3 linked regions of the Drosophila melanogaster genome follow. The protein of the gene in region 3 purifies or fractionates together with the protein of the main gene of each other region. This does not show direct contact. Each region holds a gene or a part of one and is shown on either strand. Other genes may lie near its edges.

Region 1 (9,298 bases), on a different chromosome or scaffold from region 3:
GGAGTCCCCCAAGGCAGCGTTCTTGGGCCAACCTTATACCTCATCTATACAGCCGACATCCCTACAAATAGTCGCTTAACGGTATCCACATTTGCCGACGATACAGCTATCCTTAGCCGTTCAAGGTCCCCTATCCAAGCTACAGCACAGTTGGCACTGTACCTCATCGACATTGAGAAGTGGCTCTCTGACTGGCGAATAAAAGTAAACGAGCAAAAATGCAAGCACGTGACGTTTACGCTAAACAGACAAGACTGTCCTCCGCTCTTGTTGAACAGCATACCACTCCCGAAAGCAGACGAGGTAACGTACCTAGGAGTACACCTAGACAGAAGACTCACATGGCGCAGGCACATTGAAGCCAAAAAAACCCAACTTAAACTCAAAGCCAACAACTTACACTGGCTCATCAACTCTGGTTCTCCGCTCAGCCTAGATCACAAGGTCTTGCTCTACAATTCTATATTGAAACCAATCTGGACCTATGGCTCACAGTTATGGGGCAATGCCAGCAACAGCAATATTGACATCATTCAGCGAGCACAATCAAAGATTCTGAGAACCATCACTGGGGCACCGTGGTACGTTCGGAGTGAAAACATCCAAAGAGACTTAAATATCCCATCAGTTACCAACGCAATCACGGAACTTAAGGAAAAATACCATAGCAAGCTTCACACGCACCCCAACCACCTAGCGCGAGGTCTAATCCAGCTCAGCAGCCGTTCCCGTCTCCGGCGAAAGGACCTACCAACCCAGCGAATAAATTATTAGGGCCGTTTAAACATAGAACAGTTGGAAAAATAATACAACTGTTCAAAAAATACTTGTTATAGTTAAGATTTTTAAACTTATTGTTAGTTCTTATACAAGAAGATTCAATAAATAAAAGCAAAGTAAAAAAAAAAAAAAAAAAAAAAAAAAAAGTTAAAATAATGATGAAATTAGTTTTAATGCTGTAAGATCGCCTACATAAATAATAACTGCTAACATTCCCCTGTTGAAGTTTGTCGTTAATAACATATTTACACATTATTCATAATTAAAGTAAATATAGATATAAATCGGCAATATATTCGAGCGGAGAATTTAACAATAGAGTATAAAAAATCTTCGTTAAAATAATTATAGTTACGGCATATATTTTTTAATAATATTTCATCCTGTCATATTGCAACGACATTGGCCAAAACTCGAAATCTGTAAATTTGTTTCTTAGATCAAAATTGATATCGGCCCGCAAACCGATAGAAGAGTGCGTAGAAAAATAAGTGGGACTTAAAATATTGACGAGAACCACAGTGGAACCCAGCCAATCTATTTAAAAACTCATATGGAAAACAATTGGTTCTTACACTGAATATGCGTTTCGCGATTTTTAAAGCATTTTATACGTTTGTTAGGGATAGGGTTAAAAAATATTCTTGCATTTCAATGTTTTTTGGTCGGTATCGTATATGTGGGCAACTGCTGTAACTGTAATCGGCTCACAAAAGCTCTGCAATAATTTATTTATGTTGTTATTAATCATAGCTTCAATACCATAAATAAGAAAATTATAAGCAAATTAATAATATGTTGTTCATTCAATAAACTTGTTTATTTCCAATCCAATTACAGTGGTTTGTTATCAAGAGCAAGCATGTTGTCTATTCTATTCTATTTTGAACTTGTGTTGGTATTTATAAATTTTAATCCTCATAAATTTTGATAACATATATTTTTAAATAAACAAAAGAATACAGAAAGGTTAAGGTAAGGATGATATCTACAGAACTTTTTACAAATTTAACCGCAAAGTCTATTGGCATACATTAAACCGGGCTTAGTACCAGCCATACGGCAAACTCTGCTGGCAATATGTGATGATATTAACCGTTTTTCTTCATTTTGGGATTGCCCCTTATATTTTTTTTGTAAGTATAGGATTTGTATATATATATCCCCGGTACCTGTTAGCCAACCAGAAGCAGTCAAACGTAGTGTAAATGTAATATAAGTGTAGTTGGAAACAAGTGTTATTGTGTCACATTCGTCTTCACAGGAGCTAGATCTGTGTTAAACTTGTATAACTAGTTCTTTTTTATGTTTGGCCTTTATAGAAAATTCGGTGGTCGATGTCGATCATTATATTTACTTTCAATACTAACTTATTTTTAAGCATACAATTTTTATTTGTGTTAATTACTTGTGCGTTAAACTGAACCAATTCATTTATCATACAACTTAGAATGTCTGAACTTCAGTCATCTTTACTGTTAAAAAAACAATTGGCAGGTAAGTTTAACAACTTCAAACGTATATAAATGAGCAAGAATGTATATATAAATGTTTTTACATATGTATATGAAATTATTTTTCCAGTCTTGCACATGTGGTTTTAAAATTGGTGCAAAAACCATAAGCTGGCAATGCTCAACCAAATACATATATTATGTGTAATATGAGTGCACATATGTAATTTGTAGCTTAAATATTACCTATATCTTAAGGTAATTTTAATAAATTCTTGTTCTTTTTTGTAAAGTTAATAGTATACTCTTACATAGGATAATAAATGTGTATATGCGCCAATACATATATGTGTAAATATTTGTGTCTACCCTTCTTTTTAAAAATCTCGTGGTATATATTATTATGTACTCAAATTAATGATAAAATTTGAGCAGGAGTTTGCTTAATATGCCGAAAAGATAAATTTATATATGTGTATGAAGGTACACATAATATATATTACTTTCTAACTCTAATAAATGCTTACATCTACACATATGTGTGTATGTATATACAAATTTTGGTAGTGTTCCCTTCACTGCCTTAAATTAAAATTTTTGGAAAGAAATTGTTTTCTAATGATTTAGACATTCAACAACACTTAAAGACTTGGCCGAATGATAGATATATTATTATCATATTTTTGTTAACACTCTACAAAGTTATGGTTAATTGATGTTCAAGGTAACCTAATAAAGCATTTATGTTATTTGTAGGGTTAAACAATGTTCATTACAACCTTTACAATGCTTAGCCCATTTCTTATTTTCAGCCATTAATCGCGAATAGCATTTTGCTACAGGGGCAACAGTATTTTAAAACAAATGAAACCATATACTTTGTTATTTAATCGAACATGTCAACAATGGAATGAGCTTTTTAAATTCGTTTGACTCATACTACTAACTAAAAAATGTATTTATGTATGTATATGTGATTTTTTATATACATATGTATGTATATGTTTATACATATGTTTTTATTCTATAATAAAAATTATTAATTTGTTAATTTGTTTGTGATCGCTAGAGGGAGTCACTAGCATCTACATGCTTTATTTTATCTTTCTATAATTTTCCATCAAGATCTCGACAATCATAAGGACGGATAGACAGATATCGCTAGATCGACTCGAATAGTGATCATGATCTAGAAATATTTACGTTTTAGAGTCAGATTTACTCTTTTTCACCTGTTTCAAACTTTTCATATTATCTTAAATTCATATGTGCAGTTGAAACAACAACCCTAAGAGAGCGTGCATTACGCACACACGTATATTTAAATCCATAAGTGGATTCAACCTGTAAGAGACTGGACATAAAACTTTACTGTACATCGCCGAATCTTTAAATTTGTTGTTTACTTTTTGTTCAGTTTATTGTGGGTTGTAATTTCTATTGAAGTTTCGGCACGTCGACTGTAATCGCCCAACCACGCCAAACTTTTTTAAAAAATATGTTCTCATTTATATATTTTCCCATTTTTCATGTCAATTTTTATCGATTTGCCAAAAGAATTTTAATAGAATATAGAGAATATAGATATAATATTCTTGTTTTCAAATAATTTGACAGTCCAATTCTTTTAGTCGACCATCAGAAAACTGAAAAATTCTTACTTGTGAAACATGCTAATTTTACAGAATTATAGAATAATTTAAATTTCGACTGGGAAACCAAACCATTTTTCGATGGTGGGCGTGACAGTTTATTACGGCTTGTGGGCATTAGATTACGCAAAAACCAGTGGCAAAAACCAAAAGGAATATGCATGTTAAATTTAATTTTCTAGCTCATGACAAATTATCCTGAATATACATACATATATACTTTTTACGATCAGAAACGGTACCTTCTACTGTTATATACAGTTTAACAAATTTGACATATCCTTCTTTTCAACGTCTAAGTGGTATAGTCATAATCCAAAATAAAATAGGTCCTCGCCGAACGTATTTAAAAAAATACAACCTACGGAACCAGATTGTTACACGTGATTACTAAAAATTAATAATTATTTTTATCTTTTCAGAACTAAACAAGAATCCAGTGGAAGGATTCTCCGCTGGTTTAATTGATGAGAATGATATATTTCGCTGGGAAGTTTTAATAATTGGACCGCCAGATACACTGTAGTATGCTATGAACATTGTATTCTTTTTCGTTTAAAAAATCATATTTATGCAACAATCACTGTAGACGCTATTCCAATCAATGTACGTCAAAGCGAAAACTAGACATACATGAAGCAATGAAATTCTGTTGTGGCTGTCCCATTGACACCAACAAAAACAAAAGAGAATGCTCTAATCGAGTTCCCCGACTATCAGATACCCGTTATTCAGCTAGAGTGAAAGCGAACGCGAAATTTCATAATTTTTTCTGAGATATCGATAGATATTGAGGAATAAAATGAGAAAACAAATTATAAAGTTGTTCAAAAGGGTGGGCGTGACCGGTTTGACGGCTTTAGGGCGTTAGATTAGGCGTGCCAAAAAGTTTTGATAAATTGATAAAAATTTACAAGTCTTATAAAAATATGAAAAATATCCAAAACATTTTCAACAATGTGATCGAGGCAGGTTTGGGCGGTTTTAGTGCGTAAGAGTGGGGGCACAAACATTTTTTTTCAAATCGATAGAAATGTACAAGACTCATAGACTCATTTTAAATAATGGTTTAGACATAAGAGAGTTGAGATTGGGCATGCAGATGTAGAATCAGAAAACATTGATTTCCACTCACAAAAGCGTAGCAACCATCTTAAACAAGCTTAACTTATAGTTCTGAGATCACAGATCAAAAATTTGAGAAAGCTGGAGCCAGCTTCAGAGACAACATCAAAAAGTCGTGTGCGAAAAAAATCGTATGACGTTACGCAATTTGTTATTCTAATGTCTTCAGTTCATAAGTGTTATTACAAACAACAATTTTTTGTTGGGTTCGGGGTGAGTAAAGATCGCGAGATTTTTCGATTCTACAGCCGTGTCTTTTTCTGTAGGAGTTTGTCCATCACTACATTTAAACCAATGATGAAATTTCAATGTTTTATGTGCATACGAGCATAATTCGAGAAGTACTACGACATGAAGGCATTCAGGGAATGCTTCTTTATTCATTCCCTGAAATGCCTTTGTAAGAATTCCCTGAAAGGCTTCTCGATATCATATGTATGTACATGTAATATTAGATGTACATTTGCGGTAACAATAATAGCACCATAAGCACATTTCGTGTTTGTCCCATCGTTTCTGTATTTTCTGACACTTTTTCATTATTTTACTCACTAAACTTAAATACTACAATGATTTTCAATCGAAATAACGAAATTAGTAACAGATCTAATGGATATTTTAAAAATAAGTGGTAAAACGAAAAAACCTTCATATTTAGGCGGTAACAAAAATAGCACTGTTTCTCGTAGTTTGCTAAAGCTAACCAAAAAAATGAAAAAATAATTCAACAAATGGATTATATCTTAAGAACTATGTTTAAAGAATCTTAATATTTGGTTGCGTGACCTTTGGTGCCAATGACAGCCGCCCAATGTCTTGGCATGGAGTCCACCAAGTCCTGGCACCGTTATTGAGGAATTTTGCTCCCTGAATCCTTGACCACACCCCAAAGTTCCTCGTTATTATTGGGTTTGACTTCAGAAACCTTTTTTTCACGTTCGCCCAAAGGTTTTCGATTGGATTCAAGTGACTGAGCAGGCCATTTCATTACTCTTATCGATTTCTGCTCTTTCGAGCTTTCTTGCTCGTCTGTTTTGGGTCGTTATCCTGTTGAAATGTCCAAACCAACGGCGGTGGACGCCGAACATAAGACCGAGAGCCTTTCCCACCAAGCAACACAATTTTGCTCTCATCTGACCACAAAATGTTGTGCCACTTCTCCACAGGCCAGTCCTTGGAAATCTTGTCATATTCGATTCGCTTTGCGACATGCTTAACAGTCAAAAGCGGGACTTTTCTGGGGCTGCACGCATTAAGGTTGCTTTGTCCTAAGCGTTTGCGAACAGTTTCCACGCTTTTAGCTATCTGAAGCTCCTTCTTCCATGTTTCGTTCTTTTCGACAAACAGCAGTGCTTTGCGGATCATTTTGTTTCAGCAACCGACAATGCGACCAATTTCAGAGTAGGTTTTACCTTCAGAGATCATGTTTTTAATCAAATTTCTTTTTTCGACGGTACAATGCTTTCCGCGACCCATGACTAGAGAATTTTTGGTCTTCGTTTGGAAAAAATTCAATTAAAACCTTTAGTGCAACTCCGTTTTTCAAAATTTGTCGAAAAAAAACCAAAGTAATCACCCCTATTAATTTTATTCAGCAAATACGTGGTCAGTGCTATTTTTGTTACCGCCTCATTTTGGGCACTTTTGCAGCAAGTGCCCAAAAACAAAAAAGAACCGTTACATTGAAAGAGTAAAAATTTCTTGCTTAGAGATGCAACATATGGTACTTATTATTCATGCAATCTGACTTTAAAAAAAATAAACATTTAATAATTTTTTTTTACGAAATCAACTTTCCACCTGCAGTAGTGCTATTATTTTAAACGCAGCTGTATATACAAAAGTTACGCTTTAGATTGGCCATCAAATAGTCCAGATCTAAGTCCCATAAACAATTTTGGTGGCTAATAAAAAGAGATCTTTGAAATGAGCCACAAAGGAACATTTCGGTCTTTAAATGAAGTTGTAAGCGATGTGAGACTCGATTTCTCGAGGACATTGCCAAAACTTTTTAAAATCAACGCCAAAACGTGTGGCGACGTTATACAATTCTAATATTAATAAATTTGTTATATTACGCAGCGTTTGAATTAATAGTGGTTATTTTTTCTTATCTCTTAAGTCTACCTTTTGAGTAAATAACTCATATTTTTGTTGTTGAAACTAGATCAAACTGCTGAACAAACTGCTATAGTAGTATTGAAAAAATTCGCCTACTGTTCAGATTAATAGTGGTTGGGGCTCGTATGCCCAGTAGCTAATGTTTAATCAAAGACACTAGAATAACAAGATGCGTAACGGCCATACATTGGTTTGGCACTATGCAGCCACTTTTTTAGTGACGGCCAAAATTGCTCTCTTTCTGCTCGCTTACGCTGAGAACGTAAGAAATCTAAAAATAGAATTTGCTTGCTTGTGTGACTTAAATGCGAAATATTTCTTTTGAAATACTTTTAATGTTAAATGACTTAATAAATATACTAAATAATTAAAGGAAGTACAATAGAAATTATTATAACTACTGTAATTTCATAAATTTCATAAGAATATGATAACTGTTTATTGCAAAAGTCATATCAAAGACACTAGAATTATTCTAGTGTCTTTGCTTTGGTCATATCTTATCAACAAGCATTGCCTTATTAATTTTTCACACGCCGCAAGATGAATACTCTAATGACAAATATTCTTATATAAAGTCAATTTTTAAATTTATTTTGTGATAATATGTACATAGATTTGGCTTTTTCTAATCTATTTTCAAAAAACAATAATAACGTTAAGGCAATGCAAAACAAGAATTTTTCGAATGGTGCCAATTGATCAAAAATAATATAGATTTAAAGTCAAAGAACTTCTAAGGTGAAGGGCATATTTTGTCAAATTAAAATGCATGAGCATACGTGTGCACACATACAGTTGTCTGCTATCACTTTATGCGCTGAAAAGACCTGTTCGCTGTAGCGCTCTCCGCTCTCTCGCTCTCTACCAAAAATTCGAGAGAGCCTGGAGCCACCTCTAGAGCCACGGCGAAAAAATCGTGTGCCAAAAAATCGTATGGCGTTACGCATCTTGTTATTGTAGTGTCTTTGCTTTAATCCTACAATACGCCTCCATGGTCAGCTGGATAATGTGATTTCTCCAAATACAGTAATGAAAAATGCAATTATTTACTGCACAGCTCCGTATGCTACAAGATTTTTCGAGCAATCGATGCTCACCAAATTGGTGAAAACTGCTTACTCCATTTAAAATCGTAGCTCCAATATAGAGTATACTACTGCGTTATTCTGGTCCCTCCAAGCACTTAAGCTGGTCCATTCCATTTCCATTTCAAAAGACCATAGAGGATGGAACCTTTTATAATTTCACTGCATAAAAAATAAAGCAACTCGGATATTACCTATTATCATTTTATAGCTAAACTAAGTACCTTCCTTTAAACGTGTACTTACTAAAAGACGATCATGAGTTCACCACCTTTGTTGGCCAAGGCCGCCTGTCAGGACCGTCTTCAGGAATGTTTTTCAATCGGTTAATTATAACCTACTGTTCACCAAGGTACATCTCTGATTTCCTTCTGCCCGCTAATATGAATTCAATCCTACTTAACGAACCGTATTCAAATATAACATATTTGGAAATAGGGTGACTGACTGTGAAGTCTCGGTTATTTTCAGGCATGCTTTTTGTCCATTATTATTCGGTCTGCTTATTAACGATATTTCTCACGTCTTATGAATACGGGTGGCCTTATGTTGTGATTGCGCATAGTCTTATTCATTTAAGCAGCTTAAGTTCGACTTAAATTACTCGGTTATATTTTTCCCGCTCTCTCACACTTCCATTCCAAAACCGGGTGTCTAAAAGTCTTGTCACTTGTATGTAACTCCCATTACTAAAATACGATTTTTTTATATTTAATATTTATAATTTTATAATAATAAAATAATTTCTTTATTTTTTAATCGCAGCGAAGGAGGATTCTTTAAAGCTCATCTTTACTTTCCTAAAGAATATCCGTTGCGTCCTCCTCGAATGAAGTTTGTTACAGAAATTTGGCACCCAAATATTGAGAAGAATGGAGATGTCTGTATTTCTATTTTACATGAGCCTGGAGACGATAAATGGGGCTACGAAAAAGCATCGGAGCGCTGGTTACCCGTGCATACAGTGGAGACTATCTTGATATCTGTAATATCAATGCTGGCCGATCCGAACGATGAGTCTCCAGCAAACGTAGATGCTGCCAAGGAATGGCGAGAATCCTATACCGACTTTAAACGC
Region 2 (5,105 bases), on a different chromosome or scaffold from region 3:
AGTTTAGCCTAAAAATACCACGAAAATGAAACTCTGAATAAAAACAAGTGTCGAAATGTAACGAATTCAATTAGATAATTAAGCCTGAAACTCTCAAAGCTAAATGTAGTGGATTATTAAAAGGAAAATGCAATGCAGTTTTGTTCGGTGCCCGAGAGTTAAGTAAGGAAATGAACTACAAGTATTTGAAATAGAAATAATATTGAAACTTGAAATGAGAATAAAATTGAATTCTAATTCAAATTTATAGGTGTTTTACTGGCGGATTAAATGTATATTAAATTATAAGTGCTTTAGTAGTGGGACGTACCAAGATTGTTAAAAAACATCTGTTTTTTAAGTCTGGGCTTGGTGACCTTTACAGAGAACTAAACTTAAGGTTCGCTGTCAATGATGCAACTGCAGCCGAAATATTGCAAATATTATAAAATTCACCAAACAAAACACAAGCGGTTCTAAAAATTTCAAAATGATGTCATTTTCACTGCATTGAATGCCAAATCTAAGGTGGCAAAATAAATATTCTGTCCCCAAATTATGTAAGCCCGAATTGGCTGCCATCGTCGTCAGCTGACCTACCTTTTAATTGGTACCGCCTCGGCAGGTGGGTGTGCACACGCGAATTTTGGATTTGGATTCGGCAGTGTTTCGAGTACTACAAAATATATATAACGCCGGGCGCAAGCACAAATATTTCCAATTACTTTCGACCGAAACGCGTGCGGCACCAAAAATCAACAAGCTGCTTCTTCTTCTTACACAGTGATGCCAACTTTTCAGCTACATAAATGGACAACATAAAAAAAGCTAGGACTGTTAACATTTTGTATGGAACATGTGATTACCGTCTTCAAAGTATTTAAACGGCATTGTTTGAGTGATATATAGTTTTAATTATTTAATATAGTTCAATACATTTATAAGCTAAATAGCCACCACTAGTGTATAGTCGATATATTAAATCGATAACGTTGTCGCATCAAAAGGTCACACTGCTTGAGCAAAAAAACCAAAATAAAACATTTAAAATTAAGCGATTTGATAATAAAGAGACTCGCTTGCTATTAAAGTTATAAACGCTATCCGGGAATTTATTAATCTCCATTTAAATTAAATAAAGTTATATTGCTAAATCCTCGCCTCCAGAGGCACATTTAATGGCACCATCCTTACACTACGGCGAATACAACTACGATTTTCTTACTTTGGTGCATCTGATGCCCTTGGATTGCAGTTTTCTCATGATGTCCAAGGTCTCTTGATTTTTGGTTGGATTTAGCTCAGTCGTGGCATTCAATTGGGTACTTGCTCGCTTCACCTCCACACCGCATGCTCTGAGTTTGTTTAGGATTTTCTGGGTGCCATCCAATGGAGGAGTTGATTTGCTTGTTATGGTAGGAACTGGTTTCTCGGGCGTCTTGGGAGGTTCTGGTACTTCAGATATCCTTGAAGAGACTGGTATAATAAGCTTCGATGCAGGAGAAAATTTCATGGGTACCAATTGAGATGTTGACTGCGTTGTCCCGGTAGCACGAGATTGCAATGACCTTACAGGATGTACAGGAGCTGGTGGTGCCTCTGGAATCCTTTCCTTTTTCTCCGTGTCCTGCAATCGCTTCAGATCTTCCAGCACAGTGGGCACCAGAATGATGGCCTTTTTCATCTTTACTGCTGGCGGTTGAGGGGAAGTCAAGCAGGCACGGGATCTGCGCTGCTGCTGGGAGGTCAGAATGGTACGTCGGGTGGTGGGAGGGCTACGCGGACGTTTCGCAGGCACCCCTTCCGGTTCCTGAGGCTCCTTGGCGAGCGGCACTACATCCTCCTTTACTATATTTTCCTTGGAATTTGTCTTTGGTATGGTCTGCACGGTGGGCTTGGGATTGGTGTACCAGCGTGGATCCTCCAGCTCTGCCTCCCAATCGATGGCCGTGTTGGTGTTCTTCTTAACCGCCTCCAGGTCGTAGATGTGAATCTGCAAGAAGTGAGTTCAATCAAAAGGATTCTCAGGAAGTTTTCAGGGCAACGCCGGATCATGGAGCTCCCTTAGCTGCCTACCTCCTGTCTGCCATTCACCAGTCTCGTTTCCCGATTGGCATCATCAAATGCCAGCGGTTCGATCGGCGTTACTATGTATTTTACTCCGGGGCAATCGGCTAGGTGGCGTTGGAACGATTGGAGCGTCATAAAGTGGCATTCGCAGCTGCGGCACAGCGTTAGAAGTCGTTTTTGGTCGTCGTATAGAACGTCGCCAAGGCGAATCGTCTTCATGGACTTTATTTTACGCGATCCATTCATTTTTTTTGTAGCCAATTCGCGCCAAGAAGAAAAATGGTATTAAAAAATTATTTCAGTTTGTTTTTGCATTCGTGCAGAGTGGCCAGACGTTGAAACGTAGTAGATGTCAACGATTTTTAGTTGGTACAAAATCTGACATAAAAATACCAAACAGTTGCTATTCATTTTGTTGCGCGCCTAAATTCAAAGCACACAAAAAACCAAATAGGAAAAACACATTACACATTAAAAAAAAAAACATTTAGATATAAGATTTGATAAGGATGACGATATATAAATGGTATAATAAAATGTTTGGAATAATTTAATATAAATATTATATAAATAATTTATGTTTATATGTAGTTTTGCTCAGATTGATAAAAAATAGATGAAAACATACTTTCACTATGTAAAATAGAACGATTTTTTTGTTTACGGTTTTTGGTCCATGAATCGAAAATTACTGGAAAGATTTTATTTGAACTGCTCCTGCTCATTTTTTGCTGCATTAATAGTAACTCTCTGCTTTCTTTTACATTGTCGAATAAGTGGACTAGCGTTTTCTTTGTTCTTTTTCCCGTGTTGGCTTTTGTTTCCTTTGATTAACGCCCATGCAATTGAAATTAAATCGCTTGCAAATGATTCGCAAGCTACCTAAAAAAAAATTGGGCAATCCAAAAAATGACATCGTTTATGCAGCCGGGGACTGCGCCATTTGTAAGCTTGCCATTTTTTCGACCAATGTGATATGGAGCCATATGGAGGGAACATTGTCTGATTTTGACTTCAACTCGAATGTCTGTCTAGTGTGTGTGGAAAACAAATGAAAAGGAAATCCAGCACTTTTTGCGTACCTACATATATATTAAATTTTTTTTTTTTGTTGTTGTAATGTTCCGCATAACGAGCACGGACCATGTCGAACCACGTGCAGCATAATCACCCGGCAGAGCGTAGGTGAGTATCGTTGGCATATTCTTGATATTTTTCAAACTGGCCCACTTTTGGTTGAATTTTCCTGCTATTCTTGCAACTTAATAAGTGAACTTTAAAGAGCCGCATCGCTTACAGCCCGGAAATTGTATGGATCTGTGGGTCGCAGCTCCAGCGGCAATTGGATGAAGTTGCCGATGCTGATGAGGCTGCTCCTGCAGTTGCTATTCCTGCATGCAATTAAGCCAGGGACGAGAGCGAGGCACAACTTGCCACTCTGTGTGTCCCAAAACTGCAAGCTGACCATGCAAATTACGTTGCCCACACTCATACTTGCACACGCTCTGCTACACACACGCATTCCTGTCGCCTCGTTTGGGGGCCTGCGGGGCTCCCCGGCATTTGAGTGATGCACCAAGTCGAGGAAGCGGAGAAGGTGGCCAGCTAGCTGGAACCCCATTGCCGCTGCCACTGCCACTACTACTACTACTACTAACTGCCACTGCCAAAGCTAAGTTAAATGGACCTGCGGTGCACTCGAGCAGCCAGGACGCAAACTACAGTGGATACCGCTTAAAGTATATAACTGTTATTATTTGTATTGTTTATTGTACTGATCCTAAATAGAAGATATTAGCTTCCCTTAAAACGCCTGACTGTGCTGTGATGCTTCTACACAAATTAGACACAATTCGAAACTAGCTTGTTGGCTGCTAACAGTTTGGATATAGCCAGGCACCACTGTACGCCGTGCATGCAGATTGAAGTGCAGACCATGTCAAGGTAGCGGCTGCAGCTTTGGCCAGTAGATTAAATTAAACGTGGCAAAGGAGACGGCGCCAGAAGAGGACGAGCTCCGTGGCTAGGTGGCTCCATGGCTCCATGGCTGCATGGCTCCGTGACTCCGAGGGCTCGCCAGCCAGCCAGCTTGCCAGGAGGAGCAACTGCAGCCATGCGATGGCAATGGCAACGGCAACGACAATGGCAACAACATTAAACGTGTTTACACCATGTCCGACCAGTTGATATGCCAACTGCCCCCCGACCTGTCCTGCACCCCACCACACACACACACACTCACTGGCACACACACACACATAGGGATGCGTAACCAGGCATGAACTGCTCTTGGACAATGAACACATGCCATGGCAGGGCATTACCACCTACCCATCTGTCCGCCCAGCCGCCCACCACCCACCACCCGTCCACTATTGTCCTGCTCTTTGTTTACTGTTTTTCAAGGGGTTTCGCAGCCGAGTGAACTAGCAAAAAAAATGAAAGCAAAGAATCACAATCACTGCATACTTGCAGGTGCAGCTGCTGTCATAATACAATAGAAAAGCTGGCGCTACAATTGCCACAGATGTTGTTGTTGCTGTTGTTGTTGATGTTGGTGTTGTTGCTGTTGCATTGTTGTGGACTGCGAATTAACTAAGGCCACCCCATCACAGTTCTCTTCCCCACTTTTCGCTGGCACTATTTTCAACATCTTGGCCGTGCGACCACGTTTTCGTACAAAAATGTTGCATACTTTCCGCAGCTGCACAACTACATATATGTATATAGTGTGTCACAGTATGTGTATTTGTGTGCGAGAGTGTGTGCATGTGTGAGTTGTGTCGCCATGTGTTAAGTAAGTTCGGACAAGTGGCTTTTCCAGGCATTTTCCAAGCACCTTCGCCCGACACTTGTACTGTCACTTAAGCCAAGCATCAAGAAAATGTCATTTTTCATCTGAAAGTAGTGCACAAAAACATTGATTGCAACACACAGTGCCGTCCTTTTGGTTTCACATTTGTGGGCATTATCAAATCGTCTTGGCTTTACTGCCATTTAATTTCATGGTCGGAATTATTCATTCCATTGGCTTGTATAAAATAAACCTACTCTTT
Region 3 (5,286 bases):
CCGAAATATGATTTTGAAATGGCAAAAATTTTTACACGAAAATAGAGATATATAATCCTCTATGTGGTACATTATTCAATGTTTATTTATGAATTAAAAATATTCGTTTTAAGATTTGGATAGCATCCCTTACTACGTTCCAATCAATTTATCTATAATATCATCGTTCACGAAAGTTCGACCTTTTAGTTGGCGGCTTATTGAGGTAAAGTTCTCTCCCTTGGCATAAGGAGGACCATTATTGGTATCCAGAAAATACCTGCCTCTGGCTCTGCAATTAAATAGATAAAAAGAGATCTGGAAAAATAGGTGCTGGCACTTACTTCGGATCCACGTGAAAACCCATCAGCTCTATATTTTTATCAGGAATGCAAATTCCCTTTGCGAAGCTTTTAAAATTGGGACAGTAGAAGCCATAGAATCCAGAAGGTGACGAAATAGACTCGGCATAATAGTCTGCTGCTCGGTTATGGTAGCAGAAATGAGTCTCCACTAAAGTCAGAACAACGAAAATGAAAAATATAGGTAAAGCAGATGGCCTTAATATTACTAACTCTTATTAATGGGTCCGCAGTTGGGCTGTGATACACCCATGTTCAAGTAGAAGTCCACGTGACCCACTGCATCCAGTAAGCCAAGCATCGTGACATCCGTGTGCACGACGTCCACGAACTTGGCATCAGTGGGATCGAGCTTTAGAGCCGGATCCTTGACCATGTAAAATGGTTTTGCCGGATCGAGGGCTGTAATATGCTCCAGCTTGTGTTCCGGAAGAAACTGCCCAATGAAGCCTGCGACATGGGCACCTAAGCCCAAGCCAATTAGGTGCAGATCCTCAATTTTGACCAATCCGCTCTCGAGGAGTACTCGTAGCAACTGAGCAGTACAGCGAGCTACGTATTTGGCATTGTGCACCGCTTCCGTATAGCAGGGTTCATAGGCTAGTTTTGGATAATCCAAGGATATCAAATTGTAATCCTGTGTCAGGAACAGCGGACGTAGCTGGGTATTGGGACTGAAATCGCGGTGCCCGTTGAATCCATGGATCAGAACCTTGAGCGGTTTGTGGTGATAAAATTCAAAACGATTAAGTTCAAAAACTGAAAGCTTAGTTCCCTCCTGATTTTCTTTTCTGCAGATACGGATAGATAATGAAAATCATAGTATAAAACCATTAATCTTACGTGTATAGCCAAAAGGAAATGTTGGCATTGGGACAAATTTCGTTTTGCAGGGAAAAACAGTTCATATCATCTAAGCCAGCAACGAGCATAACACTCGAGAAGCCTAAAACACGATTACTTTATGACTTTATTATTAACTCAGCCTGAATTACCTATTAAGACCAAGATGTTATTCATCATTCTCTTCGATTCCGTTGAGGCCTTTACTGATTTTTTTATTTTCCGACTTTATATGCTCTAGGTTCCATAAAATCTTTTTAATTAAGTTTGTCTCGTTCAACCGAATAAGTAACCGGAAAGCTTTTCTAATTGCAAAATATGTGCATCTGTAGCGCCCAGGGAGGAGCAGTAAAATATTATAGCAGTGGAATTCTGCATAAAAGTTAAATATGATTAAATTATAAAAAGAACAGAAATAGAATTTTAAAAATCAATTTAAAAATAAATAGGAAGTCAGTAATTAATTAATTCGCGGTTGACTTCGCTCCTGGGCAGAACAATTTGCAGTGGTAATTACATCGTAAATCTAGCCTTAAATTTCATGCCACCAAAATGTCAGCGTTCGAATTAGAACTTATGCCACAAGTGTGGCCAACACTCAACTCAAGCTATTTATACAGATACACATTTTGGGCATTGAAAATTATGCAAAAACAATCGAAGTGCCACTGTGTGAGTGCACTGTGGTCGCCAGAGCAACCCAACCCAACCCAACCCAACCCCTCTTCCCATTGTGCCATTCCGTCACCTCACTGGGACATTCCAAATGTGTTTCACGTTTTGTCATAAATAATAAAACTCAAATGACCATCAAAGCCACTACTGTGCGCCTTTGCCAAAAAAAAAAATGCCGCTGCCGGAAGGTTACCCACTCATACAGAACTATCCAAATTCGAATTCGCATCCAAATCCGAACCCATGCCCAAAGAACCATAGCATCCCCCACAATTGGCCTGTCCATCTAGCGTGATGTCCATTTGCCAGCCTGAATGCCTGTTTGTTTGTTTTAAAGCAAAAATCTAAAACCAAATCAACATTTTTCGAGACCAAAGTGGAGAGGATGGAGGTTGAGGATCGGATGGGTGTGTGGTTAACCGCAGCACTAGTGGCTATGGGTAGAGTGGGTAGCCAGCAAGTAGTCAGCAAACGGCAAAGAGCCTGTGGAATTGGCTGTGGACCAGCCATCGGCATCTGGCCCACACTCATGATCATATGGACAAAAATTGCTATAAAGTACTAAAAATACAATTACCGTGAGAAAATCGCACTGATTTTGTGACTGATTGTGAAGACGTTTATAGTCGATTTTTAGTGACTGACTGAGTGACCGACGGACCAGGCCATGCACACATCTCAACTCGCCGAAATATGGATGCGAGGGTGTACCTATATCTGTATCTGTATCTGTATCTGTATCTGTATGTGCTGTATCTGGTGTATCCGTTGTATCTGCTGCTCTTTTGCATAATTGTGGCGTGCGCTGTGCGCTCGTTTTTCCGGCTGCCAGCGCCAAAGATGATGGAGATGACGTCGCCGTTCTGCCGCCGACCTTAAGGCATCAGTACCCTCCCACCTTACCCAACCCCAGCCAATACCCAACCAATAACCCAACCAACAGGAGGCAGGCAGTGCACCTGTAACACTTTGATCTGATTTAGATCAGCGTCTGGCCAGAATCAGTCTGCGCATCCGCCTCCACCTTCACCTACACCTCTGTACCCACCGCCACCTCCACTAGTTCACATTCCAATGGCTTGGTTAATAAAGTGTTTTGCCGAAAAGCCAAACCAACAATAACCCATGGATGGGATGCTCTGCTCCGCTGCTCCTCTGCCGACGAGGTGTACAACGCTGCGTATGAGTGACGCTTCCACTAAGCGAAATTTGTTGTTTATAAATAATGATCTTGGCCAGGCGATCGGTTTAGTGCGCGCCCGCAGGCCAACGCAGTTGGAACGCATTGGAGATTGGAATACTCGCTCGCTCGCAAATTGTCGTTTGGCCAACAGATACAAAATGGTATCTATCGGGTGTTGTTTTTGCATTTCTCTGGGCGGGTGGATATTGTGCAATCGATTATGATGTGATCGGGCTAATTTTTGGTAACCGCAGGAGGACGACGAGAAAATGGACATCATGCGCAAGGCATTCCAAATGTTCGACACACAAAAGACGGGCTTCATTGAGACGCTGCGTCTGAAGACGATCCTCAACAGCATGGGTCAGATGTTCGACGATAGCGAACTGCAGGCTCTGATCGACGACAACGATCCGGAGGACACCGGCAAGGTTAACTTCGACGGCTTCTGCAGCATCGCTGCCCATTTCCTGGAAGAGGAGGATGCCGAGGCCATCCAGAAGGAGCTGAAAGAGGCCTTTCGTCTGTACGATCGCGAGGGAAATGGTTACATCACCACCTCAACGCTGAAGGAAATTCTCGCCGCCCTCGACGACAAGCTCTCCTCCAGCGATCTGGACGGCATCATCGCTGAGATTGACACTGATGGATCCGGTACCGTGGACTTTGATGGTAAGTATTCCCTTGTAATTAACAAATATGTGATGCTGACTAATTGCCATTTTCGATCACAGAATTCATGGAGATGATGGCGGGCGAGTAGAAAAACCACGAACGCTGATAAAACCAACAGAAAATCGAGCTTTTGGGTTTAATTATAATTTTTTATTATTTTTAAATAAATTAACTAACCGCTTTAATACAAAACTTTAGTTCTTGTGGTCTGCGAGCAGTAATAATGAAACAGAAAAAAAACTGAAAGATACATATCCATCTAGTTCATATAGTTTACTTGTTGCTCTTACAGGCTAGTCATCTAACTCTAGCTTAAACAAGGTTACATGATAAGAACGATAAGATATAAGTTAAACGGTTACAGATAAAGATACATATATAGTATTTACAGAATCGCTTATAACGATAATATATAATATATATACTATATATATGTATGGTTAGCGGCCTATAAACATCTTTGCTATTTACACAAAACAAAAGAGCCGACACAAGTGCACTTCTCGAGATACGCAACTGCCAGTTCTATATATCTCTGGTTATAAATACAAAAATATGTGCTACTAAAAGGGGAGGAAGGGAGTCGGGCTCCTGTCTGTTGGCTCCTGTCTTTACACTTTGTCTTAAGGCAACTAATTCCGTGGATTTTACAAAAGGCAGCATTTACTTGCACAAAGTCTGCAAAGTTTACACTTAAACACTAGATACAAACAAAACATATAAGGACATGTTCTATGTTGAGGCTAAAGCCTCGGGGGTCAAAGAATGGGCGACTTAACTCGTTTAGTTAAAGCGTACAAAAGCTGGCACAAAAATTAATGTATGTTACATATAAATTTCGATTCTTTCGATTGATTTTTTGTTTTGATCTCATATTTATGTACATCGACATGAATAGGTGTCATCCAAAATACTCCCTATATTTCTCAAATAGTTAAAGCATTTTTCTAACCAAAGATTTTGCAAGGGGCCTTAGTAACTAGCTCCTGCCAACTTATATCTAAACTCTAGCTTACAATCAGTGCGACGGTTTAAGTAACCGTAGTATAGGCACCTCTGAAGGATCCTCTGCTTTACTCCGCTCACGTACAAGCAACTTACGATTAGAACCTAACTATGAATTTCCGGACAAAAGGTCGGAACTGCGTATTCAACAGAAGTTGAACAAAAACAGAAAACTAAATGCAACTTAGGTTAAACCTAAAACGAGACTACAAACAGCTGCTTAGACAATCTTAATGGGCACATCGATTAGACAGTCTGTTTCCAGTCGCCCCAGCGTCTTCTTTACGCGCAGGGCAGTCAGCCGAACGGTGGGATTCGGGTGCCAGCACTCCTGCATGATCTTGGATACGGTGGCGAGTACATCATCCTCCTGCCAGCGTGATGGTATCGGCGGCCGGAAACCCTTTACGCACACAACAGCGTGCATGTCCTCGAACGTGGGATCCGAGGGCACCACATCGTGATAGGGCAGGGCGTAGTCCTCGCAGGTGGTCGTCTTGGTGCCCGATACGGGTGTGTAGCAGCGACGGGTCATCTCCCACAGAACGAGACCCACTGAATACA

What was found.
Region 1: the proteins of TpnC25D (region 3) and CG40045 purify together in Drosophila melanogaster (affinity purification with mass spectrometry, with the first as the bait; one large-scale study listed by BioGRID). This does not show direct contact.
Region 2: the proteins of TpnC25D (region 3) and CG10265 purify together in Drosophila melanogaster (affinity purification with mass spectrometry, with the first as the bait; one large-scale study listed by BioGRID). This does not show direct contact.

The regions. Positions count from the first base shown.
Region 1 is NT_037436.4:24,026,447-24,035,744, forward strand, and holds the start of CG40045 (uncharacterized protein), read left to right. Parts: upstream 1-2,068; 5' UTR 2,069-2,231; coding exon 2,232-2,277; intron 2,278-2,364; exon of another isoform or gene 2,365-2,492; intron 2,493-4,308; coding exon 4,309-4,411; intron 4,412-8,431; exon of another isoform or gene 8,432-8,531; coding exon of another isoform or gene 8,532-8,572; intron 8,573-8,985; coding exon 8,986-9,298.
Region 2 is NT_033778.4:14,991,457-14,996,561, forward strand, and holds CG10265 (uncharacterized protein), read right to left. Parts: upstream 2,380-5,105; 5' UTR 2,296-2,379; coding exon 2,056-2,295; intron 1,973-2,055; coding exon 1,190-1,972; 3' UTR 1,067-1,189; downstream 1-1,066.
Region 3 is NT_033779.5:5,215,151-5,220,436, forward strand, and holds TpnC25D (troponin C at 25D), read left to right. Parts: upstream 1-2,641; 5' UTR 2,642-3,200; coding exon 3,201-3,203; intron 3,204-3,296; coding exon 3,297-3,714; intron 3,715-3,776; coding exon 3,777-3,805; 3' UTR 3,806-3,903; downstream 3,904-5,286. Other genes in the region: CG14034 (uncharacterized protein), read right to left, coding at 133-271, 324-492, 555-1,132, 1,185-1,287, 1,337-1,364; tkv (thickveins), read right to left, coding at 4,943-5,286.